Linked DNA regions of Saccharomyces cerevisiae S288C. The protein of the gene in region 3 interacts with the protein of the main gene of each other region in a biochemical or structural test. Each region holds a gene or a part of one and is shown on either strand. Other genes may lie near its edges. The genes, in order: CLP1, YCK1, YSH1 and GLC7.

Region 1 (5,925 bases), on a different chromosome or scaffold from region 3:
ACCAAGATTTTTGGTAGATGGAAGTGCATCTCCATTATTAGTGGTTTGTTATGTTGCGCTACTAGGTTTAATCTTGCCATATTTTGTTAGTAGATGGTGGGCAAGAACACAATCGTATACTAAGAAGGGAATACATAATGTGACGGCTTCTAATTTTGTTAGTAACTTAGTCAATTACAAGCCATCTGAGATTGTCACCACAGATTTGATCTTACACTGGTTATCATTTGCTCATGAATTTAAACAATTCTTCCCGGATTTGCAACCAACGGATTTTGAAAAACTTTTGCAAGATCATATTAACCGCAGAGATAGTGGTAAACTTAACAATGCGAAATTTAGAATAGTGGCCAAATGTCACTCTTTGTTACACGGTTTATTGGATATTGCTTGTGGATTCAGAAATTTAGATATTGCATTGGGTGCAATCAATACTTTCAAGTGTATTGTTCAGGCTGTACCATTAACACCAAACTGTCAAATCCTTCAATTGCCGAACGTAGATAAAGAGCACTTTATTACCAAAACCGGAGATATTCATACATTAGGTAAATTGTTTACTTTAGAAGATGCCAAGATTGGTGAGGTTCTTGGAATAAAGGATCAAGCAAAGTTAAACGAAACTTTGAGAGTTGCATCGCATATTCCAAATCTAAAGATCATCAAGGCAGACTTCCTTGTCCCAGGTGAGAACCAAGTAACACCATCATCTACCCCATACATTTCTTTGAAAGTACTGGTTCGTTCTGCTAAACAGCCATTGATACCAACTAGCTTAATTCCTGAAGAAAATTTAACAGAACCTCAAGATTTTGAATCTCAAAGAGATCCATTTGCTATGATGAGTAAACAGCCACTCGTCCCATATTCCTTTGCACCATTTTTCCCTACAAAGAGACGTGGGAGTTGGTGCTGTCTGGTAAGTTCTCAAAAAGATGGTAAAATACTTCAAACGCCAATTATCATTGAAAAGCTATCTTACAAGAACTTGAACGATGACAAAGATTTCTTTGATAAGAGGATAAAAATGGATTTAACCAAACACGAAAAATTCGATATAAATGATTGGGAAATCGGGACCATAAAAATTCCATTAGGTCAGCCTGCACCTGAAACTGTTGGTGATTTCTTTTTTAGAGTAATCGTTAAATCCACAGATTATTTCACTACAGATTTGGATATTACCATGAATATGAAAGTTCGTGATTCTCCTGCAGTGGAACAAGTAGAGGTGTATTCTGAGGAGGATGATGAGTACTCTACTGATGACGACGAAACCGAAAGTGATGATGAAAGTGATGCTAGCGATTATACTGATATCGATACGGATACAGAAGCTGAAGATGATGAATCACCAGAATAGATATAAGTGATTAGTATAGTTTTTCATTTTAGCTCTTAGACGTATATATTTCATCTTTATAAAAATAGATACATGTGTATACAAAGCAAAACCAAAAAAAAAAAAAAAATTTTTCAGCCATCTGTTAAGAAATGTGTTTTTTCAATAAGATAGCATCTTGTTCGTCGCCATTTACACCTTTTATGAAATTGTTGACAGTTTCGCCCACTTGTTCGAAGCCATGAGCTATAAACCATTGCTTTGTAAGATCATCCACTGCTGGTAAATAGACAAACACGTTATGTTGATGACATTCTGAGCATTTGTCTTCTGCAAACTTCAGTAATTTTGAACCGATGGATTTGTGCCTATAATTAGGCAACACGCCCAAAAATTCGATTTGAATGCCCTTGAGAGATAGTTCGTTTTGTTTTTTAGGAACTAATTTAGCAACCAAACCACCCACTGGTATTTCACTGTAATAAGCCATCTGTGTGAAATGTACATCCTTCTTCGAAGATGGCTTTTTATTTTTTGCAACTAAGCTATCCTCAGCGAATAATGCACTGAAGAAGGCATCTTGATATAAGTTTGGTACTGTCACATGAGCTAGTTTGGTTAGCATGCCCAAATTGTTAGCGTAAACATTGTCTAATGTGCATATATCACGGCCCATATTTCGCACTACTCCCTTCAATTGTCTTTGCCAATTTGTTTGTTACGGATTAATTTGTGAAAAAGCTTCGCTAATAATATCAATTTTCTTTTTTTTCTTTGCTTTTTCTACTATAATATACATAAAATTATATAAAGAGCATATAAACCATAAAGATTCCTCTGCGACACTTCTTATTCATTTCCTCCAACGACTTGTTCACCTTTATCATTAATTCTGATCAATCTTAGAGTATTCAAAAGGCCAAAAGTGCCATTCCAGTTTCTTAGAAATTCCATATTCTTCGCATCACTCAAGTCTGGACAGAGAAACCCCGCCTTAAATTCTTTTAACTCTTGATCCCTCCTTTGTTGCAGTAGCACTTGTCTATTGCTTGGTGGCCTGTTTGACCTCCTCTTCTTCTTGAGTTCGTCTAATTCCGTATCATCTCTTTCAATAAAACTTTGAATAAACTCTCTTGTGTGGGCGTGATCAAATATTGGTTGCCCTTTGAATGTATCAGAGTTAACTACATCCTGCATAAATTTTACCCGAGCTAGTTCGTGGACTCTTTTGTCTTGATGAAGCTTCTTTTTGGCTGCGATTTTATCTTCACGCATAGTAGCCCTGACCAGCTTTTCATACTTTCTACCCTTCGGATGAACCGTGATATTTTTCCCTTTCTTGGATAAGTTCTTTTGCAACTTAGATAAAGATTTAGTAACCGGCATGATTAGTTTGTCGTGGTAAGTCCTGTTCCGATACTTTTCTTCTTAGAAAGTACCTTTAAAGAGCTCATCTCTCATCTCGTCTATTAAACCATTTTAAAATTTTCGCTCGGGATGTTCAGCTGTGTACAATAATACAGCGTAAGTGCATTCAAACAATGAGGACAAAAGCATAAAGTTGTGAAGAAAATTGCCCATACATTCAATGCCATTATTTGATCTTATTTCTCCAAAAGCGTTTGTTAAGTTAGTGGCCAGTGAGAAGGTTCATAGAATCGTTCCAGTTGATGCAACATGGTACCTACCCAGTTGGAAGCTTGATAATAAAGTGGATTTCTTGACCAAACCACGTATACCAAACTCCATTTTCTTTGATATTGATGCAATCAGTGACAAAAAATCGCCCTATCCACATATGTTCCCTACAAAGAAGGTTTTTGACGACGCTATGAGTAATTTAGGAGTTCAAAAAGATGATATATTAGTGGTTTACGATCGTGTTGGTAACTTTAGCTCCCCTAGATGTGCTTGGACATTAGGAGTGATGGGACATCCTAAGGTGTACTTACTAAATAATTTCAACCAGTACAGAGAGTTTAAGTACCCTCTAGATTCCTCTAAGGTGGCAGCGTTTTCACCCTATCCAAAGAGTCATTATGAGTCCTCAGAAAGTTTCCAAGACAAGGAGATTGTAGACTATGAGGAAATGTTCCAATTGGTAAAGAGTGGGGAACTGGCTAAGAAATTCAATGCTTTCGATGCAAGGTCGCTCGGTAGATTCGAAGGTACAGAACCAGAGCCTCGTTCCGACATTCCATCGGGGCATATTCCAGGTACCCAACCATTACCATATGGAAGTTTACTTGATCCGGAGACCAAAACGTACCCAGAAGCTGGGGAGGCGATACACGCTACTTTGGAAAAGGCATTGAAAGACTTTCATTGCACTTTGGACCCAAGTAAACCAACTATTTGCTCTTGTGGAACTGGCGTTTCAGGAGTCATTATCAAGACAGCATTGGAGCTAGCAGGAGTTCCCAATGTTAGATTATATGATGGATCCTGGACCGAGTGGGTCTTGAAATCCGGGCCCGAGTGGATTGCTGAAAACAGAGATTAATAAGAGAAATATATTCTTGACAAGTCGATTTATTTAGCTACATATATTAATTATCTATCTACTTACTTAAAGGGCGATCTCCCTTTCTTTGTCTTATTTGTGCTCTTCATTGTTATTGCCCGGTAAAATAGAAAATAACAGCAAAAAATAAGACTGCTGGCAAAAATGAGCAGAGACCTTTCTATCGAGGGAAAAGAACAAACTATTAATTCTTTTCGAAATTCCAACACGATTAAACCATCATGGCAAGTCTACCTGGTATTGATGAGCATACTACCTCTGAAGAATTGATAACTGGTGATAACGAATGGCACAAGTTGGTTATTCCCAAGGGCAGTGATTGGCAAATTGATCTTAAAGCAGAGGGAAAACTGATAGTCAAGGTAAACTCGGGCATAGTTGAGATATTTGGCACCGAGTTGGCAGTAGATGATGAGTACACTTTTCAGAACTGGAAGTTTCCCATATACGCTGTCGAAGAAACAGAATTATTATGGAAATGTCCTGATTTAACTACGAATACAATAACTGTCAAGCCTAACCATACTATGAAATATATTTATAATCTACACTTCATGTTGGAGAAGATACGAATGTCTAACTTTGAAGGCCCTCGAGTGGTGATTGTTGGTGGTTCGCAAACCGGGAAGACTTCCCTATCGAGGACACTATGTTCTTACGCTTTGAAATTCAACGCTTACCAACCACTATACATCAATCTTGACCCTCAACAGCCCATTTTTACTGTTCCTGGATGCATATCTGCCACCCCAATATCAGATATACTTGATGCACAACTACCCACTTGGGGTCAGAGTCTCACTAGTGGTGCCACACTACTACATAATAAGCAGCCAATGGTGAAAAATTTTGGCCTGGAAAGGATTAATGAGAACAAAGATCTATACCTTGAGTGTATAAGCCAGTTAGGTCAAGTAGTAGGTCAAAGGTTACATTTGGATCCTCAAGTCAGGAGATCAGGGTGCATTGTCGATACGCCATCAATATCACAACTGGATGAAAATTTGGCTGAACTGCACCATATCATTGAGAAACTCAATGTTAACATTATGCTAGTACTATGTTCTGAAACGGATCCTCTTTGGGAGAAAGTAAAAAAGACATTTGGTCCAGAATTGGGAAATAATAATATTTTTTTCATTCCTAAATTGGATGGTGTATCCGCAGTTGATGATGTATACAAAAGATCCTTGCAGAGGACATCCATAAGAGAGTACTTTTACGGCTCTCTTGATACAGCCTTGAGTCCTTATGCTATTGGTGTTGATTATGAGGATTTAACTATTTGGAAACCTAGCAATGTTTTCGATAACGAGGTCGGTAGGGTGGAACTGTTCCCCGTCACTATAACTCCAAGTAACCTACAGCACGCTATTATAGCCATAACGTTCGCAGAAAGAAGGGCAGATCAGGCAACAGTAATAAAATCGCCTATTTTAGGATTCGCTTTGATTACAGAAGTTAATGAAAAAAGGCGTAAATTAAGGGTTTTACTACCTGTCCCAGGCCGACTTCCCAGCAAGGCGATGATTCTAACTTCATATAGATATTTAGAGTAAGTAAAATTATCTGTTCAAGAGCCTTATATCAAATCCATACAAATATCGTACTGTACTGTCGAAGTATTGTTTGGGTGATTTTTATTTTTAATTTTTCCAACGCTTATATATTAACAATATTGCCAATTTGTGTCTTTGACATTATTTGCGCTAGCTAAAAAACTGCTGCAGTTTCATCGAGGAATATAAAAAACGACGAGAGTTAAAAGGAAAAGGCAAATCAAAACTGATCAGAAAAATGAGTAAGTATGGTCCATTGGGTATTACTAACTTTATTACTCCGTACGATCTATGCATATTAATCCTAATACATGCTCACTGCTCACAAGATAATGGCATATCAGTGCCAACAGCAGTATTTCTTCGGTTAATATCCCCTACTAGACCTTCACTAGAATGGAATCCTCTGCTCAAGGATAATAGTAATTTAAGATCTTCATCTATTGTTCCTCCTCCTGTACTTCCTATTCTAGATAATATAATAAGGATACTGTTAGATG
Region 2 (6,259 bases), on a different chromosome or scaffold from region 3:
ACGACACATTTTTGGGGAACGGTCAACGTCTCGGTGGAAGAGCAAACTTACGTTCAAATAGATATCCTATGACAGGAATAAGTACTAACACAGGGATAGTGAGAAAAAGGGGCAAAGGTGTGAAGTTAGGGAGTTTGCATCCAGAGGGTATATCATCTATAGATAGAGGTAATTCCCCGAGAGAGTTGGCGGCTTTTGCAGCCGAAAGGAGATATAGAGATGATCGCTGGTGCGGAGAGACGAAGAATAACAAAGATCAAATAATAAGTGATAATATTAGCAGCTCCTTAGAAGTTGTAATCCTTGATGATGATGACGAGGTACTCCCGGGAGATACTCTTATCGAAGTTATTGATCTCACTTAATCTCTTGTCCACAGCGAAGAACTCGAAAATTATAAGTATGGTAAATGTCGTTTCGGTTGTAAAGTATACAGATATATTCACATTACAAAAAATGTAAGAAAGACGGTAGTCTTGCAAAAAATGTCATTTCTATATTTAGCAACAACCTAATTTTTGGAAAAAGCCCTTATGAGAAGCAGCTAGACTTGAATTATCGTCATTTGGGTGCTGTTCAGGAGTTCTTAAAGCAGCAGAAGGTTGTTGTTGTGGTTGATAACGAGCGCCAAACTGCTGAGATTGAGTTTGCGCTTGAGGCTGAGATGGAGGTTGGCCTGTTGCACGTAGCTGTTGCTGTTGCTGTTGCTGCTGTTGCAATTGTTGCTCTTGAAGTTGTTGCTCCTGAAGTTTTTGTTGCTGCTGTCTCTTTTGTTGTTCTTGCAGGTATTTCTGCTGGGTTTGATGCTGGTAAGCTTCATAAGAAGTAGGGTCTAACTTTGGTTTATATTGAGAATTGCGCATATCTGCCTCAGTTTTTTGAGCATATTGCTGTTGCTGTTGCTGTTGTTGGAGCTGTTGCATTTGGAGCTGTTGCATTTGGAGCTGTTTGTTTCTATGTTTTCTCGATTTTTCGTTTGGTGGATTTGGATGGCCGTATCCGTGGAGATTTGGCTTCTTGTTTATGTTAAGATCCCAACCACGGCCATCGTTCAGTTTCATCCAATCATATTGGCCGTCCGCGGTTTCACCTAAATCATCCAGTACAGATAGTAATAGTTTTCTATAGCCTTCATAATCGGGACACTCTTCAAAGGAAAGACTTCTGACGATTTCTAGATACCTGCCAAATTGCACAGGTAAGCCTTGAGCTAGATCGTAAACGTTAGTAGATCTTTTCTTTTCACCAATCTTTTCGTATTTTTGCTTATTGTTTGGAGCTTTTAAACCCTGCCAGGGTAAGTGGCCTCTCAAGAAATAAAAGAAAACGTGACCCAAGGCCTCCATATCATCTCTTCTGGACTGCTCTCTTCCAAGGTGAGTATTAATGGACATATATCTGGCAGTGCCGCTGAGTGATTTTTTCTCTCTATATGGGATGTGCTGTTTAGTTTTCGGATCACGATACTGTTTGGCCATACCGAAGTCGATCAAATGGATGTTGTTTGCGTCAGGTTGGCCGGGCCTTCCAATCAAGAAATTGTCTGGTTTGATATCACGGTATATCAAGTCATGTGCGTGCAAGTCTTCAATCAAAGTAATCATTTGGACAGCAACTTGCACAACCGTTTTGACAGAAAATTTTCTTCCACACCAATCAAATAAATCTTCCAAAGAGGGACCCAAAAGATCAATGACCAAGATATTGTGCAAACCTTCTTGGCCGAAGTAGTACGCGTAGGGGATATTGGGAGTGCCATTCAGAATTTTATATGTTTTATATTCATCTCTTAATTGAGGGGCCTCCGTTTTTCTGGGCTCGAATTTGATCGCGACGGGTACGCCATTGATCATATTAGTACCTTCAAATAGCACACCAAAGGAACCTTCCCCTATTTTTTTGCCGATCTTGTAATGTAGGCCGACAATAGTAGAGTCATCTCTGGAAGAGTTGCTGTTGGAGTTGGCGGCGGTCGTGGCGGTCATCGAAGATCTTGCGGGCGAGTCGACAGCCTGGTGGTGGAGTTGTTTGTTTGCTTGTACGTTAAAATTTGCGTTTCCGTTTATATTGGTGAGGTTGTTAACTGCTAGAGTGGTACTTGCTATGGGCATGGACATGGGGAAGAGGAGAGCAGGAAAAGGGCCAGCGAATGCGCGAAATTTTTGTATGTGTCTTTTCTCTACTATGGCATCCACATGAAAACCAGTCACAGAGCACTCAATGAACGGTTTGCGTTTGTTGTTTGTAAGAAGCAAGCAGAAATCAAAGACCCATGTATACGATCGCTGATTTGTTTTGTTCTGTTTTTTCTTGTTCCGGCGAAAAAATCGTAAGAAACGAAAGGAGAACGAGCCCACAGGCGGGGTAACATCAAAAGGATTTATATTAGATCGTAAAGTCAATGCATATGTAACAGTACAGAGGTAGAAGGTATGTATGTGTAACGATTAAGAGATGCAATCATGATTGTTCTTCGTCAGACGAATCTTCGAATATGTCTTCGTCAATGACACAGTCGTTCTCCCAAAAGTCATGGGCGAGCTTGCTTAAAACGGCGGCAGCGTTTTGACGCTGCGCTCTACTTGAATCTTTCTCATTAATGTACTCGTTATACTCTTTAAAAGTTGATCCACTGAGAGATTGTGACTGCGATGTTCTACGTGGAGTATAGTAACTAGCAGGATTGAGCCTCCTGCACTCTTTGAGCCTCAATAGAGAAGCGATCTCCTCGGAGAGTTTTCTTCCCTTATGCTGGTGACCATCTTTAAGTTGTTTGTGTTGTCCTTGTGAAACTGCTGTTTCCATTTTGCCGCGTGGAGACATCTGTCCAATTTGCCCCTGGCTCTCTGTAAATACCCATATATGAACGTTATATATATTGTATATTAATGGCGTATATGTGCCCATGGGAAGTCATAGTAATAGATCTAGGCACGTGGCTGCAGTGACTCCGCGCAGGGCTGTACCGCCAAGGTAGATAAGAGAGCGGAGCACGTGGGAAAAGAGAGATACGGTATGTTACAACAGTCAAAGTAATGAACTTTCGCCCACGTGCGTACATCATTTACTATCTCAGGCCGCTGCGTTTGGAACTTTACGGCGTTGTAGTTGTAATTGCCATAACTGCCATGCATTTATGTATATATATTTTCGTACGTAATGAACATGGTTATGTTATATATTGTTTGCAATCAGAGAGAAGTTGAAGAGGAGAAAAAAAAAAAGAGAGAGCCGTACCGCAATAAAATGGACCCTTGTCGGTCACGTGAGCAAAAATACTATTGCCGCCGACGGCCGTAGATAATAACAAAGGAATAAAAAAAAAAAAGCGGTAACTCGCGGAAGCATTGCCGATGCTTACCGAGATTTGCCGCGGATAACCGAACCATCATTGGGGTAGGAAACATTATAAATATTTGATATATATAAAGGAAAAAGCTTGATTTGGTCTTGTAATATCCCAGTGTAAACATAAAAATACACACATACCACAATTACACTCTCTCATCGACTCAATGACTGCTGGTTCTGCCCCCCCTGTTGATTACACTTCCTTAAAGAAGAACTTCCAACCGTTTCTCTCCAGAAGAGTAGAAAATAGATCTCTGAAAAGCTTTTGGGATGCTTCTGATATCTCAGATGACGTCATTGAGCTAGCTGGTGGAATGCCAAACGAGAGATTTTTTCCTATCGAATCTATGGATTTGAAAATATCAAAAGTTCCTTTTAATGATAACCCAAAATGGCATAATTCGTTTACCACGGCGCATTTGGACTTGGGATCCCCCAGTGAGCTACCCATTGCACGTTCTTTCCAATATGCAGAAACCAAGGGTTTACCCCCTCTCTTACATTTTGTTAAAGATTTTGTGTCCAGAATTAATCGCCCAGCCTTTTCCGATGAGACGGAGTCTAACTGGGATGTCATCCTTTCTGGCGGGTCCAACGATTCAATGTTTAAGGTTTTTGAAACAATTTGCGACGAATCGACCACTGTGATGATTGAAGAGTTTACTTTCACCCCGGCTATGTCCAATGTGGAGGCTACAGGAGCAAAAGTCATCCCCATCAAGATGAACCTGACCTTCGACAGAGAGTCCCAGGGTATTGATGTCGAATATCTAACGCAGTTGCTCGATAATTGGTCAACTGGACCATACAAAGACTTAAACAAGCCAAGGGTCCTATATACCATTGCAACGGGCCAAAATCCTACCGGGATGTCTGTCCCCCAGTGGAAAAGAGAGAAAATTTACCAGTTGGCCCAAAGACACGATTTCCTCATTGTTGAAGATGATCCCTACGGTTATCTGTACTTTCCTTCCTATAATCCGCAAGAGCCATTAGAAAACCCTTACCATTCTAGCGACCTGACTACTGAACGGTATTTGAATGATTTTTTAATGAAATCATTCTTGACTTTGGATACAGATGCCCGTGTCATCCGTTTGGAGACTTTTTCTAAAATTTTTGCTCCTGGATTAAGGTTATCCTTCATCGTTGCTAATAAATTCCTTTTGCAAAAAATCTTGGATTTGGCCGACATTACTACAAGGGCCCCCAGTGGTACCTCACAAGCTATTGTTTATTCTACAATAAAGGCAATGGCTGAGTCCAACTTATCGTCCTCTCTTTCTATGAAAGAAGCAATGTTTGAGGGTTGGATAAGATGGATAATGCAGATTGCTTCTAAATACAATCATAGGAAAAATCTTACTTTGAAAGCCTTATACGAAACAGAATCTTACCAAGCTGGTCAGTTTACCGTTATGGAACCCTCCGCGGGTATGTTCATCATTATTAAAATCAATTGGGGGAATTTCGATAGACCTGACGATTTGCCGCAACAGATGGATATTTTAGATAAGTTCTTGCTGAAGAATGGTGTTAAAGTAGTGCTTGGTTATAAAATGGCTGTTTGCCCAAATTATTCAAAGCAGAATTCAGATTTTCTAAGACTCACCATCGCCTATGCAAGGGATGATGATCAGTTGATTGAAGCTTCCAAAAGAATCGGTAGTGGCATAAAAGAATTTTTTGACAACTATAAAAGTTGAACAGTGAAGATTAAACCTATGTGTTATTTGCATATCATATATAAATTGTAGTTTTTTGTATAAAAGTTGGGAAAAAGTTATAGTCGCGTATATTTTAAATTACTCTAAGCAACTAAATGGTCACGGTTTAGAGCATGAACTTCTGAATCCTTTTCCAAATTGCATTTAGCACCGTACTCGCTTTCAATATAGCTCAAACGTTCTTTCAGACCGTCCAAAATTTGGTCGCTATCAGGTAAGTCCACTGTAAAGCCCTTTATCAAGCTATATTCGTGTGTTATTTTACCCCCTATGTCCACCACATATTTTTTGACATCTTCAATAATGCTATTCTGGTCCGTAGCCATATTATCCGTCTTGGGGAAAGTTACGATGTATGATGATAAGGAAGATGCCTGTGCCATGGAGAATATGCTAATGAAAATCAAAACTAAGTAACTGGCCTTCATATATATGCTATAGTCTGTTACACAATAGATTTAAATGTTGTAATATAACGAGGAAACGCAACTTATCCATTTGTTCTCTCCATCGCATCGCTTTTTCTTAAATACTTTTGCCCCCCACCCCTTTATCCACTTGCGTTTTCCTCTTTTCTTCGCCTCTTTTTGGTAGCGCCGACCGATCTAATCGGAATAATCAAATTTAATAGGAACTGAATATTAGAAATTATTGAAGTCAATATACTGTAAAAACTATAAATCCTGTAACGAACATAAAAAAAGAAAACATAAAGGAAGCGCGTGATGTATCAGTAACATCACATAGTACAATAAAAAAGAAAGAGAACACTGATAATAACTGTACTGAAGACAAACAATTAGGAAAGTAACGACGATCTTTCTTTCGTCCAGTCATCATAACAATATGTGTTTTTGTTTTTGTTTTTGTTTTTGTTTTTGTTTTTGTTTTTGTTTTTATTTTATTTATTTTTTGCTTATTTTCGTAGTACACAACACATAATCATCTTATTGTTGACTAACAGGGAAGATTTGTTGTAACTCGCTACTACTTGTGACTTGATTATGGATAGCAATAGACAACAAAGTTTGCGCTTGGATTGGTGACAAGTACCCAGCAGAAATTGCACCTTGTGGAATACTTGTGTTACTTATGAACCCAATTCCTGAACCATCATGACCACTGGATCCATCACTTGCATAAACGACAGGGAAGTCGACCGATGTCCATGATGCCACGGT
Region 3 (6,974 bases):
AAATGCTGTTGCACTCTTGCTGGATGTAATTCTTTATCGTGTCTTAAACTTTGTAGCTCTTTTGGATTCTCCTCAAAATGTCTTTTCAACTTCTCACTTGCCAATAGTTCTTGTTTCAACTCTTTGACCCTAGCTTCTCTAATGGCAACTTGAGTAACAGCACGGAAACCGTCTTCCATTCTGTAACGGAACGCCTCGACCTGCTTTTGATCGAATTTGTAAGGCTGTAATTCTAATCCAAGTTTGCTCTGTTGTTTGATGATTCGTGAAAGAATCCTTTCATCCTTCTTTGCTGTCTGTAGCATTGATGGCTTATGCTTACCAAATTCTTTCAGTGGGACTACGAATGAAATTGCAGTACCGGTCTTTCCGCCACGAGCAGTTCTACCTACTCTATGCACGTAGGACTTAGCCGTCGTAGGTAAATCGAAATTGAGGACACATGCAACATTTTTGAAATCAACACCACGAGAAACACCATATTCCTTATCTTTCTTCACTTGGACCTTCTTTTTCTTGCTTGGTTTCTTATCGTTCTCAGGCTCGCCTTCCAAGCTTTTTTCTTCTTGATTTTCTGTATTGTGCCCTTCTTCTATTTCGTCATCTTCCTCTTTTATGTACTCGGTGTCATCTGTGGCAATCAATAGTTGGTAAACGTTTTTATTGAATTGGTCAACAATATGTTGCCTCGAATTAACGGGTAGCTCGCTGTTTAAAATACAGGACTTGATACCAAATTGTTCCATAACTAGCTTGAGCCTATATCCTCTGTCAATATTATTTACAAAAATTAATGTTTTACCCTTGATTAAGTTAAGTTTAAAAATGACATAGCATAGTAAGAATTTGTCAAATTCACTGACTTTAACGTAATATTGAAGTAATTTGTTTTGGTTCTTATTTATTTCCTCGTCATTGAATTTAAGAATAGCTGGAGAACGACAAAATTTTTGTTTCAAAGCCTGTATATCGTCATTTAGGGTTGCACTCATCAAAAATGTTTGTAAATTTTTTTTCAATGGTAAGTACTCTCCAATTTTGTTTAAATCATCTTGATAACCAAATGTTAACACTAAATCCACCTCATCAACTACTAAAAATTTTAGTTCGTTCAATGAGATAGAATTAATCTTTGTTTGCAACAAATCCAATAATTTACCAGGTGTACCAACTATGATTTCTGGTTGATCCATAAGTAGAGTGCTCAAAACTGAGTCAGACATATCGGATGATATGTTCAGAGTTCTTATATCTTTTGAACAATATAAGACTAGTTTTTCTAAAACATTATATACTTGTTGAGCCAGTTCTCTTGTTGGAACAAGTATAATACCTAGTGTACCATTTTCCTCTCCGTTATCAATTGTTTTTTTATATTCTAGGATAGTTTCAATTACAGGAATGAGGTATGCCAAAGTTTTTCCGGAACCTGTAGCGGCCTTTGCTATAATATCTCTCTTCTGTTGTAAAGCCAAAGGAATAGCATGTGATTGAATTAATGTTGGGTACTGAAATCCTATATTCTTAATAGCTTGTAATAAACGAGAGTCGAGATGAAATGCTTCGAACGTTGTAGAATCGTCAATATAAGCGCCTTCCACAGACTTTTTCTCATAGCTCATTTTTTTGATCTTTCGTTGCAGTTTTGGCTTAGTCTATTTCTTTTGTGAGATAAATTGTAGATTGACTATAACTATCAGCCAAAACAAAAGGCTCTTACTCAATGAAAGAAATTAGAAGAATCGAAATGAAATGAGATGAGATGAGATGAGATGAGATGGTCTAGAAGAGTTATTCTTTATGTTCGTGAAAAAAAATTTTTAAAATTTCATCTCTAGGTTTCATTACGTAAAGAGTGATTAAGGTAAACAATAAAAGGCAGTTCTAACCAGATTTTGGTTTGGTATTACTTCTATAAAGTAGTCTACTTAGTATGCGTAACTGTTTTTAACATAGCGGTGTGACCAAATTACCACCAATATTTAAGAGGCTTTCCACCCTACCTTTCAAAGGATTTGAATTACATTCTAAAATTTTCATATTGTTGAAGTCAATCTTAGCAGTGCTTTTACCTATGGTAACCACTCCAGTTATAGTTTCCTCTTTATTACTTGCATATTCATCTTTATTGAGAAATAAAGTAAAACAGTCACCAAACTGTTCTTTAAACAACCTTGAGATTTGCTTCACCCTCTCAACTTCATCAATCTTACCTTGTGCATTAGACTGCACATTGTTATGATCATGATCATCACAAGAATGACTCGAAAGCTTGACACTGGCGGGAGCTGAATCCACATTCATAAGTATAGCAATAATGGAGTCTGCTACAGTGTCATTCATTAAATCTTGAGTCCATTCCACAACGGCTAGAGTATTAACAATAGTTAACTTAATATCACCCATTATCTGTAGAATCAATTTACCTGTATTGGTCAGATTGTCTTTTGACTCTTCTTTAACCTTTGGTTCTTGATTTGTTACTCTATCATCATCTTGAAGAACTTCAGCCTCTCCAAACATTTGTAAAATGTGCCAGTAAATTAGCTCCTTTTTACAATTTACACGAACTGACTGGCGCTCTCTTAATATCGTTGTAGAAAGATCGGGATGGTGCTCTCTTAAATCAGACAAAGAAAGGAAGTCTAATTCGAAATTTTTGTCATCTGAAACTAGAATCCCAGAAACGACTATGTCTTTGTGTTCCTCTTCATCAACCAAACCTTTTTCTGCTTGAGAATCCAAGTTGTCTTCGTTTTCTTCCTTTATAGGTTCAATTTTAGCCGCAATTTCTTCCTTTATCTCTACGTTTTCTTCTTTATATATTTCGTTCACAATATTTCCCACAGCTTTTGCAACCTTGACACCTTGAAATTCAAGATCTACTTCAACACAGTTTCTAGGATTAAAAACATGGACTTCATTATCTGTACCCTTTAAAGACGCGAAATTGGATAACAATGCAGATTTCAAACGGCCCATGGGATTGGCTTCTCCATGAACAAGGATGATATTTGGCGCACTAATCTTTTCAATAAATTCTAAATTTTCCTGGAAGTCAACGTGTGCGGCAAAGGAGATTTCTTCAACTTGACAACGTCTTGGAATGGTTATTTCCGGATTATTTATGGAAGGTATTGTATCTGGCTCAAGCATAATAAATTTCGCCATTGTTCCTTCGATGGAGTAACCGGTGATTAGTACTAGATTTTTATCTTCAGGGCACCACCTTTCAAGTAAATCTCTTGATAACCCACTTTGCAGCATACCTGGTGAGGCCAACATCACACTGGGACCAAAATCTTGGAAATCCTCCAAGTTTCTAAGATAAGATATATTTTTGAATATGAAGGGATTAGTCTGAGAGTCTCTAAATTTTTTTCTAATGTCATCATTCATCATATTTACATAGGTTTGAAAAACGCTCATACATTTTTTTGCCAAATTTGATGCATAAAATATTGGGACTTGTCCACCACCGAGTTCATCAGCATGTTGAGACCAGTACTCATCCAGTATAAGCATGATTTCTTGAGCTCTCCCTAAAGCAAAAACAGGCAGTAGAACACGGCCTCCTCTCATCACTGTGGAATGGATTAGTTGGGTTAGCTTCCTTTCTCTATTTAAACGGGGCTCGTGAGTAGCGGTACCAAAGGTAGATTCCACAATTAATACGTTGGATGAAAGTGGAGGCACCTCAGCAGAATTTAAGTGACGATCTACTTCTCTCGAATAGTCACCTGTGAATAACACCCTAAGGCCAGCAATCTCTATTTGAAACATCGCTGCACCCAATACATGGCCTGCATGGAATGCCGTAAATTTGATACCATTGACGTCAACAGTAGAATGATAGTCCACCGTTTCAATTTTATCGAAAGAATCAACTAAATCCTCATCTGAGAATAGACCTTCGTCTTTAGTCCCCATAGAGGAGGATGAAGAACCTATACTAGTAACTCTTACAAAATCTCGCAGTAGCCATCTGTAAATGGCTTTGGTTGGATGTGTCATGAAAACTCTGCCTTGAAAGTTAGTCCGTTGCATCACATACGGAAGTGAAGCGGCATGGTCTAAATGGAAATGTGATATCAGTAAGATATCGACTTTGGAAAGATCAAATTCATCGTAAAAAGGTAATGAAGCTAATCCTTGATATGCCGGATGAATTCCTGCGTCGAGCATCACTGTTTTACCTTTATATTGCAATATATGACATGATCGTCCAACTTCGTTACTTCCTCCCAATGAAAAAAATTTGAATGTTGTTGTATTTGTTCGCTCCATATATGCGTATACTTATTAATGTTAACTTATTATGTTACTTTTTATTTCCTCAATGGACAAAATTCAATTGATAATACAATGTTTCTTTTGTGCTGTAACTTTTGAAGTACTGAAAACAAGGGTAAAAGAAATAAACGCTTATACCCGTGAACATTTTGAACCTATTAGATGTGATCTCAATATGTATTGCGCTGAAGCAGTAGAAGTTGTTAAAGATCCGCTAGTTTTTCATAATTTTCGGCCAGAATAACTGCTTACCCGTATTTATTTGCAAACACGCTACTTAGTCTTTTGGAGAGGACTTTATACAGGAAAGAAAGAGTTTTATTGATTTTAAAAACAATATAAATGAAAGAAAAAAATGTGTTTTAGATTAGGCTTATAAGATATGACCCATATCATAATTAAAAAAAGCGATTTAGTTGTTCTTTTAAAAAAAAAGAGAAAAAAAAAAAAAAAAAAAAAAGGAATGAGTTTGTACATACTATTATATTAATGTAGTATCACGTTAAAAAGCCGTAGTCATCATTAATCGTCCAAAAGTCTTCTACCGGACCAGATGTCATCATGTTATCCCAGTTAGAACGCTTTTTCCTGATGTCTGCGTTAGTTACTGTAGGAATAACATTGTCGAAATGCAGATTTGCGCTAGTGTTTGCTTCCACCTGTGTTTTAGGTCCATTCTTCTCTGTTTCGTCAAGATTATATTGTACACCTTCCTGATTGGACATCATGAACAAATTTCTGTTATACGAAGGGTCATTCTGCGTCTGTTGAAAATTATTAGCGGTTACATTGTTTTCAGAACACATATTTTGTTGTTGATGTTGTTGCTGCTGTTTGTCCATGGACAGAGATGAAGGCTCTTGACTCTGGGGAAATATTGTTTGTAGTATGGACTTGCTATTCAAAGCATCTAGAACGGAGTTATTGGTCCAGGTGGAAATATTGTTGATCATGTCATGAGCACCGTTGCTGAAAAGTATATCGCCCGAAGAAGAGCCATTTCGAGCTTGTTTGACACTGACCGGAATTGAATTGCTAGTAAATGACGCTGGTATCGAGGAGATAATATTATTGCCATAATCTGCTCTTAGGGGTGATGTACTGAAATTTGATTCTTCGACATCTCTTAATTGCTTATTTTCACTTGTATGGTTAGAGAATATTGCAGATTGTAGAGGATTACTGTTGATCATACCATTGTTTAATTGATTCGTAAAATTGCTTTCTGAGAATCTTTGTGGAGAAGTAATATGTTGTTGTGGCTGCTCCCGCTGTTGTTGCGGCAGTGGTCGTGATACATGCTGTTGCGGTAGCATATTGGAAGTTTGAGGATATGGAGTTGGGCTTTGCGTCATCGCTATTGGAATCGGATCCGAATGCGAAGAGGCTGTAGATATGCTAGAAGATTTTGAAGGACTTCTATTGGTCATAGTATCGGTGTTCAGGGACGATAGATACGCTTGTAAATTGTGCTGAGCTAGTTGCTGTTGTAGAAAGGCCTGCTGTTGAAATACTTGCCAATCAAACTCTGTTTGGTTGGTTGGTTTCTTGACGATATATTGGTCTTGAATAGGCCTTTCTACATCATTTTCCATAGTTACGTTGTTGTTACGAACATACTGGCTGTTGTTGCCATTATTGCAGCTGTTGTTGGTAGTGCTTCTGCTATTACTTTCATTATCATTATTATTAACATTATTATTATTATTACTATTATTATTATTATTGTTATTATTATTATTATTATCATTATTATTGTTGTGATTATTGTTGTGTTCTCTGTTGACGCTGCTGATGGTCATACCATTGTTATCATTGTTTACATTGATTTTCAGGTTTTTTTCTTGGGAAGAAGGAAACGATAATGTCGACGATGATGACGAAGAAGAAGATGATGACGAAGAAGATGTTGTATAAGACATTGAAGAATTTGAAATACGTGACCTGTCATCCATTTTGGTTAATAGGTGAGCTAAACTTTTGGGTACAGAGGTCTTTTCTAAAACACCTTGCTTCTTCTTGAATTTCTCTTGTTCAGCCAAATCCACTTGTGAATTTTCCACAAAACCGGCGTGCTCTTCAGCTTGTCCTTTACCAAATATTCTAGCCACAGCAGGCGGCATACCGCCATTATGAGATATATTTTTATCGTTTGAATTGGATAGATTAGCTGCATTTGCGGAGTTAGAATCATGAAGAGTATCCCCAGATGAAATTGCCTTATTGGCCTCATCATTGATGTTCTTGGGTTCAGTACGCTTGGCGACACTACTAGCCATGAAAATTAACTCAGAAGAGTCTGGACCACATCTTTCAATCAAATTACCTACCGTGGCATTCATTAACTGATCGAAAGTATCTCTAAAGGTTCTTGCAAAATTAGACCTTTCTGTCATAACATATAAACAAACGGAGCAAGCTCTCAAATCATCCATCGTCGAAAAGAGACTTGCACTGATTAAAGGTCTAGTATGCTTCGAAGCATCGCCTAATTTCTTCCTCCTTTGATCGTCAAAATTCCTGGCTAACCACATACAGTAGATTAAAGTTACGCCAGCTACAAAAACCGTATGCACTGCTGGTGTAGAATGACCATTAAGCGTTTTTTGATGGAATATCTTGTATAACTGACAAATTTGACCCGCAGCAGCTTGACATTCTCTAAATAGTCTATCCTCCGG
Region 4 (6,223 bases), on a different chromosome or scaffold from region 3:
AAAATATTAGAACTTTTTCTCGGGAACCTATTTGTTAAATAAAACCCAACTAACTATCGTCTATCGACTGGTATTCATATCACTATTATATTATCACGTACGGTATAAGAAGATGTCATAGAGATTGAGAAATAGTCACCAAATATAATAGCACCTGAAATGCAAGAACTGATAACGTAATAAGAAAAAGAATGACAAAGTATAAAAGGAAGAAGATAAAGTAACATTATTATGTAGAGCTATCGATTCGCCTTTTGTAGATTCCTATTTTTTCTCGAGGAGAATTGCAGCATATTCGTTCTACGTAATATTGCAGCCTTTAACAACAATGGAATCCAACAACTGTCTCAAATTGTTCACCCATTCCCAATATACCAGTAACATACGCACTGATTAATAGAAGCCAATTAATTTCTATTCCAACAAATTTACTGAAGATTCCTTTGGATTCCAAACAATTTCGTAATTGCTCAAACAATTCATTAAATATTTACACAAAAGTACAAAATAAGGATACGGTTCTTGTTGTATCTCAAAATGAGATACGTCAGTATGACAATACGTCATCCTAAACGTTCATAAAACACATATGAAACAACCTTATAACAAAACGAACAACATGAGATAAAACCCGGCCTTCCCTAGCTGAACTACCCAAAAGTATAAATGCCTGAACAATTAGTTTAGATCCGAGATTCCGCGCTTCCACCACTTAGTATGATTCATATTTTATATAATATATAAGATAAGTAACATTCCGTGAATTAATCTGATAAACTGTTTTGACAACTGGTTACTTCCCTAAGACTGTTTATATTAGGATTGTCAAGACACTCCGGTATTACTCGAGCCCGTAATACAACAGTTCTCCATTGAAAAGTCGCCATCTTAGTATAGTGGTTAGTACACATCGTTGTGGCCGATGAAACCCTGGTTCGATTCTAGGAGATGGCATTTTCTTTTTTACCTGTCTTATTTTAGACAGGTTGACGTGATTGACTAAATGATTTGGCCAACTTGTTTATAAAAGGGTTCAAAGCCAAAGGAAGACGTGACCATTCTTAACAGTGCAACGAAAGACAGCCTCAATATAGAGTTAGACAAAATAATAATATAGTAATTTAACATAGTTTAATATAAAAATAAGTAAAAAAATAATAATACTAATAATAATAGTAATGATAATAGTAATAAAAGAAAATAAAGAAAAATTGCATTTCGTTAATAATAATAGTGTAGACTTATCATTTTTCCACTAATTCAAATCCTTCACATCTTATTATTATCTCCTTTTTTTTATATTTTTTTTATGTTTCTTATGCTTTTTCGCGGTTTGTTGCACTAAAGGGAATTATTTGTGTATATGACGAGTGATGATTGCATCTTCCTTTGTTTTCTTGATGTTTCTTTCGTATTCTTCGCTTAAAGAATTGACTAAAAGTTTTCTACGTTTATGTTTCTTGTATTTTTCTTCTACTACTCTTCTTGTTAATAAGTATTTTCCTTTTTAAACTTTGATTTAGGACGTGAATCTATTTATTTTTTCTTTCTACCCCCAGCTTGCCTTGGTAGACTTTTTTGGGCTGGCTTTAAAATTTGAAAAGAACATAATAAACTTTCATCAACACTCATCATTGCACCAGCGTTATCAAATTCACCACAATAATTCGGAGCACTGAAAAGTGTCACCAATTGTCTTTTACTAAAGAATTCATAACCATCTTCCACAACTTGATGGGCCCTGCAAATCAACTCCATATCTTGTTTCTGTAAAAATCTGTTCACTACATCAGGACCAAAAGTGAAAGAAACACCTCTATCATTTTCACTCCAACCTACGATATCTTTATCTGGATCTGACCACAATAAGTCACATAATAAGCCAACGTCGGGAATATCTGTTGGCCTCATCACCCTTCTGATCTGTTCCATACTATTCAAATCTGGTGAGAGACCACCATGCATACAGAAGATTTTCTCATCAATAATTGCAGCAATTGGTAAACAATTGAAACAATCCGTGAAAGTTTTCCAAAGTTTGATATTATAACGTCTCTTACATTCATCATAAAACCCGTAAATTCTATTAATGGAAGCACATTCATGGTTCCCTCTTAAAATGAAAAAGTTTTCTGGATACTTAATTTTGTAAGCCAGTAATAGACAAATAGTCTCTAAGGATTGTTTACCACGGTCGACATAATCACCCAAAAATAGATAATTAGATTCTGGCGGGAATCCACCGTACTCAAATAGACGTAGTAAATCATAGTATTGCCCATGAATGTCACCACATATCTAAAAAAAAAAAAAATAGAAAAAAATAAGTTAGTAAATGAATTTGTCACTAAATCTAGCTCATTCCGTTGACTTTAAGAGAACAATTACTGCTGTCAAAAACGCTTCATTTCTCCCAATGCCTTCTGCAAATCCACATTTCTTGGTTTTCGTCCGACCTTTCTCTCGGGCTCAAAAAAAAAAAAGATTCGTTTTCTTCATAACGAAAAAATGCCTTCTTTTTTTAGTGTGAGCAAGGGGGATTTTTCTGAATATGGGAGGCGCCGGCCGGATGATGATACAAAACATAAGGAAATCTTGGTAAAAAAATGCCTAATAAGATAGAAAAATGAAGAGCTAAACACACACATTATCTCGGCTATCTCGACATATGAGTAGGCTAACATCAGATGCTTGGTAAATTCTTTCAGTCAAACGGAAATAACTGCTGTAACTATCTTACTGCCGCAACAGGAGTAGAACACATAAAACACCTGAAGCTCTAGGCATTCTATCTCTTGACTGCGAAGTTCAACATTAACATACTTTAATTGGGGCTTCTAACTCTAGTAAAATGGGTTGCTTTATGAATATAGATCTGGCTTTCGAACATAAGTATCTGATTTCATTTTCTTCTAGATCAACTTGTTGACCAGGTTTAGATCCTCTTACTTCCAATAATCTATCGATGATATTATCAACGTCAACTGGTTGTGAGTCCATTTCTTTAATTTGAATGTATATTGTGGTAATCTGCTTTCCTCTCCCCAGTTACTCGTTCGTTCACCTCTTATTTTTTTTTTCAGTTGTGGTGTTAACTTGTGTTACGTTGTTTTTTTCTTCTTCTTTTCTACTTTTGATTTTTTTTTCCCTCTCTTGTTCCTTGAAACGAACGCTAAAAGAAAAAACAGCAAGAGCAAGAAAAAAAATGGGGGAAGAGCGAATAAGCAATGATTGTTATCTACATAAGGGGTAATTTGGCTAGTTTCTAACTGTCATCCCCATGCAGCCTGTCAAAGACTGATATATGCAGTCAAGAAATAAAAAACAAATTGCAATAAGCTCTCCACTATAGATGGCACAAAAACAGGTTAATAACAAGTAGTTATTACATTCCTCAACGAGATGAGCCAACAAGCAACCAATAGTGCACCTACTTGTCTAACTTTAATTGAGGTTGTGCTCACAAGAAATGTTTTGCCAGGTATCTACCTCAATTGAATAACAACCGCAAAAGCTTTAGTACTAAATTGTCTCTCACCTTGTCTTCAAGAAAAGGGGAAGGTAGATGAGAGAGAAGTCTTGCAATTTTTCTCAACCTTTCAACTCGAATGGAAATCAGGTTGTAAGGGAAGCAATGAAATGTCAGCAAACAGCCACTGACTGTAATTCTTTTGTTGGAGTAAAAATCAACTATCATCTACTAACTAGTATTTACGTTACTAGTATATTATCATATACGGTGTTAGAAGATGACGCAAATGATGAGAAATAGTCATCTAAATTAGTGGAAGCTGAAACGCAAGGATTGATAATGTAATAGGATCAATGAATATTAACATATAAAATGATGATAATAATATTTATAGAATTGTGTAGAATTGCAGATTCCCTTTTATGGATTCCTAAATCCTCGAGGAGAACTTCTAGTACTTTCTACATACCTAATATTATTGCCTTATTAAAAATGGAATCCCAACAATTATCTCAAAATTCACCCACTCTTCATCTTTGAAAAGATAATGTATGATTATGCTTTCACTCATATTTATACAGAAACTTGATGTTTTCTTTCGAGTATATACAAGGTGATTACATGTACGTTTGAAGTACAACTCTAGATTTTGTAGTGCCCTCTTGGGCTAGCGGTAAAGGTGCGCATTTTTTCACACCCTACAATGTTCTGTTCAAAAGATTTTGGTCAAACGCTGTAGAAGTGAAAGTTGGTGCGCATGTTTCGGCGTTCGAAACTTCTCCGCAGTGAAAGATAAATGATCTACTATGATGAATGACATTAGCGTGAACAATCTCTGATACAAAATCGAAAGATTTTAGGATTAGAAAAACTTATGTTGCCTTCCTTCTGAAATTTATTTTTTGTCACTATTGTTATGTAAAATGCCACCTCTGACAGTATGGAACGCAAACTTCTGTCTAGTGGATAACAGAATTTTTCTATGGCCAATTTATTCTTTTTTTTTTCCCTTTTCTTAATGTGCGTATCATTGCCGGGTTTGAAATTTCGAAATTAACTACTAAAAATTACCGCTTTAATGTATGGAATATGTGTATCTTGCTAGTTTTGCGTTGCCCTCGCGATATCCCTATACGCCCACAGTGCAAACACAGTAGAGCTTTGTGATAATACTCGCAAGGAATACAGTACATCAAAAACTTATTACACAGGCTTTCCAGTGCACTCACACCCACTTTACTGTTTTTTCTGCTTTTTTTCTGCTTTTTTTTCTTTTTCTTTTTTTCATCTTACTTACTTGAGCCTAGATAATAGAAGATAGTAAGTTTGGCAGAGCCCAGTCACAAATACAGATTAACCTCTAACAAAGTCCACATCGACACCGTTTCCAACTTGATATCATAAACTTTGGATATTGTATTAAAGTTACCAGTATCACTTTTAACAAATTTTTTTTTTTTTTTGGCTATGCTCATCGTTGCCTGAGTATTCTTTAGTCATTTCCAGTTTCTTCAATAACAAAAAACATTAGTACGCGTTTCTATAATTAGGTGAAAGCATAAAGTTTTTAAAAATGACCGTATTACAACCACCATCTAGTGTTTGTTATCCGCTCAACCTCCCTATTGTACCGAATCCCAATCTGGATGAAGCAACAAGGAAGAAGCTCACTTTGGAATGCAGAACTGGAGCTGCAGTAGAACTAGCCCGTTCAGGTGTTTTTGTCCATGGTGGGCTCACACTACCTTTAAATCTGACTATTATAAATTCATTACAACTGCAAAAGGAGCTAATTCTATATTTTGGTAAACAGAAGGATAGAAATGCTGATTTTAAAACATTAGCTGATTGGATAAGCCCTGAGATATTTTTCCTTGATTTAATTTCCAGAACATGGCAAAGAATAAATACTACAATAGATACTACATCAGAAAATGAGTTGAATAACGGCTTAAGCTTTAAAGAGAGATTGTTTCATTCGATGTGCTTCACAGAATCCAACATTTACATTTTCGGTGGGCTTATGGTGTCGCCTCACAACGGCTATGAGCTGATAGCAACAAACGAATTATGGAAATTAGATCTTAAAACAAAGTGCTGGTCTTTGATAAGTGAAAACCCTCAAATTACAAGACGTTTTAATCATAGTATGCACGTCCTAAATGAAAATAACGAAAATCAAGATACGAAGCTAATCATTGTAGGTGGGTTAGATAATATGGATATTCCTGTTAAAAAAATTGATATATTTAACCTACGTACAAGTTTATGGGAGTCAGAATCGAAATCGGACGAAAACCCAGCTTCAAAGGGGTCGTCAAAAATACTGGTTAATATTGATGGGATGCCAATTTCTTTATCTCACGATTCCAACTTCTCAGTTCTGATTGAAAATAATCAGGCAGAAATTCCGACATTGGCATTATATTACCCTCAACGCGAGGCAAACACGTCCAGAAGGGGAACCGACGATGGTAGTTTCTCTACTTACGCTCATGATCTAGACGACAAATCCAAACTACCAAAACATCACCATCACCATCATGGCGATCTTAAGTATTTTGAAAGCGATGATGCAGATGAAAACGCAGTAAAAACACTTATGTCGCCTATCGTAATTTTGCCACTACTTGGAAACTCTCAGGGCGCTAGGATGACATCAAACCCTACACAAAACAACAAAGAAAACTCTATTTTACAAGTACCTTTTCACTTGCAGTATCCCTCAGGTAATTACTTTAATTATAACAT

Evidence for each region.
Region 1: the proteins of YSH1 (region 3) and CLP1 form a complex in vitro, tested with the Saccharomyces cerevisiae proteins (3 studies listed by BioGRID).
Region 2: of the proteins of YSH1 (region 3) and YCK1, one has a biochemical effect on the other in vitro, tested with the Saccharomyces cerevisiae proteins (one study listed by BioGRID).
Region 4: of the proteins of YSH1 (region 3) and GLC7, one has a biochemical effect on the other in vitro, tested with the Saccharomyces cerevisiae proteins (one study listed by BioGRID).

The regions. Positions count from the first base shown.
Region 1 is NC_001147.6:800,470-806,394, reverse strand, and holds CLP1 (cleavage polyadenylation factor subunit CLP1), read left to right. Parts: upstream 1-4,087; coding exon 4,088-5,425; downstream 5,426-5,925. Other genes in the region: protein-transporting protein SEC63, read left to right, coding at 1-1,363; peptide alpha-N-acetyltransferase subunit NAT5, read right to left, coding at 1,488-2,018; TMA16 (Tma16p), read right to left, coding at 2,192-2,728; TUM1 (thiosulfate sulfurtransferase), read left to right, coding at 2,931-3,845; APC5 (anaphase promoting complex subunit 5), read left to right, coding at 5,664-5,925. UniProt on the Saccharomyces cerevisiae protein: Component of the cleavage factor IA (CF IA) complex, which is involved in the endonucleolytic cleavage during polyadenylation-dependent pre-mRNA 3'-end formation. Associates with HRB1/CF IB to form the cleavage factor I (CF I) complex.
Region 2 is NC_001140.6:372,194-378,452, forward strand, and holds YCK1 (serine/threonine protein kinase YCK1), read right to left. Parts: upstream 2,118-6,259; coding exon 501-2,117; downstream 1-500. Other genes in the region: metalloendopeptidase WSS1, read left to right, coding at 1-365; SPL2 (Spl2p), read right to left, coding at 2,461-2,907; ARO9 (aromatic-amino-acid:2-oxoglutarate transaminase), read left to right, coding at 3,516-5,057; YHR138C (uncharacterized protein), read right to left, coding at 5,162-5,506; SPS100 (Sps100p), read right to left, coding at 6,026-6,259. UniProt on the Saccharomyces cerevisiae protein: Casein kinases are operationally defined by their preferential utilization of acidic proteins such as caseins as substrates.
Region 3 is NC_001144.5:695,209-702,182, forward strand, and holds YSH1 (cleavage polyadenylation factor subunit YSH1), read right to left. Parts: upstream 4,288-6,974; coding exon 1,948-4,287; downstream 1-1,947. Other genes in the region: DBP9 (ATP-dependent DNA/RNA helicase), read right to left, coding at 1-1,622; YLR278C (uncharacterized protein), read right to left, coding at 4,791-6,974. UniProt on the Saccharomyces cerevisiae protein: Component of the cleavage and polyadenylation factor (CPF) complex, which plays a key role in polyadenylation-dependent pre-mRNA 3'-end formation and cooperates with cleavage factors including the CFIA complex and NAB4/CFIB. Has endonuclease activity.
Region 4 is NC_001137.3:429,272-435,494, reverse strand, and holds GLC7 (type 1 serine/threonine-protein phosphatase catalytic subunit GLC7), read right to left. Parts: upstream 3,001-6,223; coding exon 2,824-3,000; intron 2,299-2,823; coding exon 1,537-2,298; downstream 1-1,536. Other genes in the region: PMD1 (Pmd1p), read left to right, coding at 5,046-6,223.